Bombyx mori: one gene and its partner. The protein of the gene in region 2 binds, or shares a complex with, the protein of the main gene of each other region. Links are inferred from orthologs where the notes say so. Each region holds a gene or a part of one and is shown on either strand. Other genes may lie near its edges.

What was found. The genes of interacting proteins can lie anywhere in the genome.
Region 1: protein virilizer (region 2) and N6-adenosine-methyltransferase catalytic subunit share a complex: the UniProt entries of both Homo sapiens proteins name them as parts of the WMM complex. The link is inferred for Bombyx mori from reciprocal best matches to the Homo sapiens genes VIRMA and METTL3.

What each region holds. Positions count from the first base shown.
Region 1 is NC_085126.1:4,836,468-4,840,554, reverse strand, and holds the start of N6-adenosine-methyltransferase catalytic subunit, read left to right. Parts: upstream 1-1,287; 5' UTR 1,288-1,622; coding exon 1,623-1,806; intron 1,807-2,267; coding exon 2,268-2,460; intron 2,461-2,868; coding exon 2,869-2,999; intron 3,000-3,253; coding exon 3,254-3,345; intron 3,346-4,087. Other genes in the region: NADH dehydrogenase [ubiquinone] 1 beta subcomplex subunit 9, read right to left, coding at 460-554. UniProt on the Homo sapiens protein: The METTL3-METTL14 heterodimer forms a N6-methyltransferase complex that methylates adenosine residues at the N(6) position of some RNAs and regulates various processes such as the circadian clock, differentiation of embryonic and hematopoietic stem cells, cortical neurogenesis, response to DNA damage, differentiation of T-cells and primary miRNA processing.
Region 2 is NC_085117.1:6,062,649-6,064,984, forward strand, and holds the end of protein virilizer, read left to right. Parts: intron 1-654; coding exon 655-796; intron 797-1,070; coding exon 1,071-1,145; intron 1,146-1,599; coding exon 1,600-1,673; intron 1,674-1,744; coding exon 1,745-1,797; 3' UTR 1,798-1,836; downstream 1,837-2,336. UniProt on the Homo sapiens protein: Associated component of the WMM complex, a complex that mediates N6-methyladenosine (m6A) methylation of RNAs, a modification that plays a role in the efficiency of mRNA splicing and RNA processing.

The DNA.
Region 1 (4,087 bases), on a different chromosome or scaffold from region 2:
TTATTTTTTCGCAATGCGCTGGATTTGGTGTCACTTCATACGGTACATCGCAAACGATTTATTTTCGGAGAGCGCGGATTGTAGTGTTTTTTCTATTGCTCACAGATTTGCGATATTTTTTAGCACCGAATTTTAATCGTAGTGTGCACTTAGCCCTGTTGTCGTATAATCATTAGTATGGAACTCATTCAAATTATGAAGACATGAAAATGGTTTGGATTTATTATGGTGCAAATAATATGATCTAGCAATAATTTAAATTAATAATTACGTATAGTTTAATTTAATAAAAGTTATCGACAAGCGGTCGCACAAATAAATTCAAATAACTAAAGTGATGCACCTGAACCCACCAATAAAATTGAATCAATACCGTTTTCAAGCCAAAAACTTACTATAAATTGATACGGAAAAACAACATACGCCGAAGATAAAATTTTACATGCGGAAGAAGCTTACCTTGCAACATGATAAGCTTCAAGAGTTCTCATGGCTCGTTTGTAAAAATTACATACTTTTTGTGAATGGCTTCTAAGTTCAGGAGCAAAAGACATTTCTGTAATATTAGAGAACGAACGACAAACAAGCACCTATAAAGTCAAACAATAAGATACCTACTTATACGTAAATGACGTGTATTATTATTATTTGATGCAGACCTATTGTTAAACGTCAAATGTGCCATACTTAATTTTTTTGGAACTATTTCAAATTAAAGCGATTAAATGCAATTTCCAACTTGACATTTCATGAAATTTACGGCTGTTGCAAAGATATAGTTTTTTTACAAATCATGATTTTGAAACACCCTAAATAGTAACAAATCACAAAGTTGCAGTTTGATACTAGTTTAAATAGTTTTCTAGCTGGCGTTCATTAACATTCCATAAAATATAAATTTACGTATTTTTTTCCACTACAATATAGTATATAAAATCGATATTTTAATCTAGTCTGCCTATTGGGAATGTTAAAAGCAACCGTCATAAATATATAAGTAACCGAATGTCGCCGGTCATTTATTAATTATACATTTTTAATTTATTAATTAAATCAACATACTTAAATAACTGAAATTGTATTTTTACTTAAGATACAGGTTTTATCACCTAGTTCAAGCACAGATGCAAATTATGATTGTGTTTCTACTTCTATAATTATTAATTATAAATTGTTAAGAGTCCAGGCAGCCCCCGACCGAGAGCCAGCGCTAAGCTATAAAAACGATCCGTCGCTGCGCCCTTGCCCTAAGTATCGCAATCTATAAAAAAAATCTCAAATGGCTCAATTGACATTTGACAGGTCTATGGTACTTACCGATAAAAAAATTATCAAACTTGCTGTTTGACAAATAAAATTGTGAGATTTAATAGCTTATTTAACTCGCTTAAACCTAATTTTATGAATTAAAAGTATGTAGGTACATTATGTATCAAGAATTTTTATAAGTTAACTTTTAATCAGCGATTAAGATTTGCTTGGTTTAAGTAAGATTATTACTTTAATATTAAATCGAATTAGCAAATATTATCTCAAAAATCACAAAAAATATCCCAATAACCATGAAATAGCCAGTGAAAATCACATTACTAGGGCATAAAATAAAAAAACAAATATTCACTATGTCGGACGCTTGGGAGGAAATACAAGCTGTAAAAAGCAAAAGGAAAAGTTTCCGTGAAAAGTTGGAGAAACGAAAAAAGGAACGCCAAAGTATCTTGAGCTCTAGTTTGGTCAGTGGCGAGAAATCTGATGCCTCTCCTAATAAAGATCGATCACTTGGTAGCCCGGCTTCAAAATCAGAAGGTAAATAAATAAAGTAGATTTAAATTTTATTCTTTTCAAAATGCATATCGAATTCGCAAAATATAGTATTCGTATCGGTACTAAACAGTATCATAGAAAGTAGTAAAGCAAACACGAAGACTAAGCCGAAACACAGGTGGAAAAACTTTAGTATAAAGTTTAGATCTTACTCCCTTTTTTTTTTTATTGCTTAGACGTGTGGACGAGCTCACAGCCCACCTGGTGTTAAGTGGTTACTGGAGCCCATAGACATCTACAATGTAAGTGCACCACACACCTTGAGATATAAGTTCTAAGGTCTCAGTATAGTCACAACAGCTGCCCCACCCTTCAAACTGAAACGCATTACTGCTTCACGGCCGAAATAAGAATACCTAATAATTCACCAAAGAGCAAAACAAACTTTAGTACTAGTCTCTACCAATGCTATTAGAATAAAATACAATGATTTATTATTCCAGCTTCAACTTTGCAAGAAAAGTCAAAACCAATCGTTCCACCAGCATCATTGGAAGTGCGTCTATTACAAGTTCTATCAGATATGCAATTGCAGTTACCTGCTACTGCCAGTGCTCTGCTACCAGGACTTGGAGATGTGGACACGGAGATTGTAGCAAACCTGTTACAGAAGTTTGCAACACAGAAGTTGATCACGTAAGTTTTTAAGGTATCAGGATGTTGATATTATGTTTAAAAATAAGTCATTCCAGGCTTTTCCAAAGTGTTCACAAATTACAGTTTAATTTTTTATTTACATTTATCTACAAATTGGATGCTACAGTTCTAGTTAAAGAATAAATTATTTGAAAATAAAATGTAAAATTTGAAGCAACTAATTACAATAGATGTAAAATATTATTAAATTGAGATACAAACTAGAAAAAAAAGACAGATTAGCTACTTTTTAATTATATTTGAGAGTTTAGTGTTTTAATCATTTTAAGAGTCGTGGTTTTAAATGATAGCCATTTAGACATGCGACACTGCTTTGGGAACATGTAAAAACAAAATGAAAGGAATGTATAACAAAAACAAACATTACATTATTGTGTTTTTACACAGTATAAGAGAAAAAACTGAAGTAACAACAGATGCTGACGTTGAGGTAGTGAGTGCAGAGTCAGGGAGGCTTGCGGCCGTTCTTGCAGCTCTGATGGAAGAAGAAACCACGACAACTAGCAACAAAAGAAAAGGTGAATGTCAAATGCTTATCTCCAAAAAGGTTTGCCTCCACAAACAAATAATGACGATATCCTTTCCAAATAGGTTTAAAGATCTTGTTCTAATACAACTGTTGAATGAAGTGATGGGAACATACCGTTCTTTAGAACGAACAGATCACCTAAAGAAAGCAAAGTGGGAAAGTCAATTATGAATACTGTGAAGTGTCATAAAAATTAAATTGAGTTTATTCATGAATAAACAGCAGTTTTACTCTGTATGACAGGTGAGAGTCCCATTGAAGATACATCAATTACAAAAGCTCCTAAGATGTCCACCGAGGAAAAGAAGTCTGGCAAGAGCGACACAGATATTATGGTAACCATAAAATAAACTCACAAATCTTGTTTTGAACCTGATAGTGCAATTTCACATACATATTGTTAGAGATAGGTAGTACACTATATTAAATGACCATCAGGAAATATATAGGTCATTGTTCTTGTTGAACCCATCGCTTGTGATGAAGGGCTCGGTGAGTAAATTAACCCACAGACACAGCCCACTGAGCTTCTCGCCGGATCGTCTCAGTGGGTCGCATTTCCGATCAGGTGGTAAATTCTGCTAAGCACTGCTCTTGCTAGGGCTAGTGTTAGCAACGTCGTCAGGTTTGAGCCCTGCGAGATCACCTACTTATTAGGGTTAAGCTGAAATAGCCTCTCAAGGTCCTCAGTTTAGGTAGAAAAAAAAGGAAAGACCTATAGGAATCATACACCTTCAGCCAGACTTGAAGTCTGTGTTATATTACAACTGTCAAATCCTTTAAACTGAAACACTGAAGAGAGAGATGATGCTGTTCTAATTCAAAATTAATGTCTCCCTTTCTATAGTTAACTTTATAATGTGTAATATTAATAATTAATTTATAATATTTAATGAATAATATTTGTAATTTATAATGTGTGTGTGCGTGCGTGTGCGTGCGTGTGCGTGCGTGTGCGTGCTTGCGTGCGTGCGTTTGCGTGCGTGCGTGCATGCGTTTGCGTGCGTGCGTTTGCGTGTGTGCGTGCGTGCGTGCGTTTGCGTGTGTGCGTGCGTGCGTGCGTGCGTGTGTAATGAA
Region 2 (2,336 bases):
ATATTGTAGATTTTTATTTTTAGCGTTACCATACCTTTCGTTTTTTTCTCACCATTAATAGTTTTTAAGTTTACAACTTGCATATCATTTGTCTTCTGTTTCTCTTGTATTTTCAATAATCTTGCATTAATTAAAGAAACATTAGATCCAGAGTCATAGATTCCAGAAACCTTCAAAGTGTCATTTATTTGTAAACTTATTTTTATTAATGGTGGTATTTCTAGTTTTTTGGATTTTTCTCATTCAGTTCTATTTCCAATTCTGAATTATTTACTGTTTTTACCACAGCTTTTTTATTTTTTTCTTTGAACCAACAGCTGTCTTCTGGGTGGAACGATATATAACATTAAATGTTGTTTCTTCTAAACAACAAGAAACAACATTTAATGCCCTTTCTTCAATAATTCTATAACACACATTTCACAACGTCCATTAACCGAAAAATTATTTAAACAACTATCAATTGTCATATGACAGATTGACATTCAATCATTCATTACATATACATATAGGGATAAATAGTTGTGTATCTCTTTACAAGACAGTGTTGTGCTAAAGCTAAATCGAATATATGTAGTCCTCGTGTGAACAAACTGTGTGTTGTCCCCACGAGGAGTTATGTACAGTCTCGTTGAGTTGTGCGTCGTGTGACAGTGGAACGGGGAGTGCGCGTGTCGCGGGGGCGGGGGGAGGCGCCGGACGCGTTCCGCTGCCGCCCCCCCAACACCTCCCGCCCCCCCAGCCTGCACGTGGACGACTTCACCGCGCTGCACCACACCTACACCAACCTCAGCAGGTACGCTCAGACTTCTAGAACGAATATTTACTAAACGGGGATCAATTTTAGTTTGCTGGGTAGAAAATAAAAGCTTATTGTTTTAAAAGCCTCATATACTGCTAGTTGTGCACCACTGAGTGCCTTGACCCCACGCAGTATCGCGCGTGCTAACATTGACGCTTCGAAGAAATGTAAATTCCCATTTGTCTCACGGACAGAACGTAAAGAACAAATAGATAGAAATGCTACTACAAAGCAGTGTGCGTGCGTAGTGTAACTTCGGCTGTTGCAGCAGGGGCGCGCGGCGTGGTGCAGACCGCGGGCGCTTCGCGTCGGCGGCGCCGGTGCACGCGCATTACCGACACACGTGAGTGCCGGCCCCAGCCGCAGGAGCCAACGACAACGGATTTACTAATAGAACTATCATTTTAAGTTCCACACATTCGTGAGCTCGCAATATACATATTTCTAATTAATGTTCAGTTTGCTTAGTGCGAGTTTTTTAACTTTCTCGATAGCGTAAAAGTAGGTCTGAGAATCGGCTACTCATTTACCTAATTCTTACACACTTGCAATAAGTTGTTTTTTTTTTGCTACACTAGAAATTCCCTAGAAATCTTAGTATATGGCAAAACAACGTTTGCCGGATCAGCTAGTATAATATAAATATTGAAGATGTCGCATCTCTTATACACAATATTCACTATTACAAGAGCAATCTGTTTTAAGGTTGAAAATGCACGTGCATTATTTTTTGTACATTGCACGTGTGCGTTGTCGTGGCGGCGCCGCTGACGTGCGCGTTGACTGTGTGTCCGCAGGCGCGGGCGCGGCGCGTGGGAGGCGGGCGCGCCGCACTTCGGGCACTACCCGCCGGCGCCGCAGTACATGCTGGGTGAGTGCGCCGACACGCCGCCCGCCCGGGGCCCGCGGGCCGCACCACACTCACCCGCCGACTGTTCGCAGGTGGCGCGTGCCGGGGACCGCGCGGCCCGAGGCACCGCTCCTTCATACGCTGAGGGGACCGCACTGGACGCGATATACACTTGTAGAAACTCTTTTTGTGTTTTATTTATTTGCGTAACCCTCCCCGCGGGCCGGAGCGTCCTTCCTCCCTCCGTCCTACTACGACCTAACACTGTCAGTGTGCTTAGTACGAGTTTGTTAACGTTCTGGATAGCGTAAAAGTTAACCCAATTTTGTATGCAGTTGGAACAACGCCTCTAGCGGCAAACGATCCCATTCCATACAAATATGAGCTAACTTTTACGCTATCGAAAACGTTAAAAAACTCGCACTAAGCACACTGAACATGATGACGTGACACTCATCGTTGTGACGTCACGATTAACACGTAATGACCACGAGTGGTCACCGACTACGTCTAATCCCCAGCATCAAGTACATCACAAGCTTAAGTTATCATTAATCATGTACGGCTGCGGGAGAATTAGATAAAATTAAAATCACAAGCTTAAGTTATCATTGTACGGCTGAGCGCGCGCGCGGTGATCCAACAAACTTGTGTCGCTCAGACCTTGTAGTCCAGGATAAAACA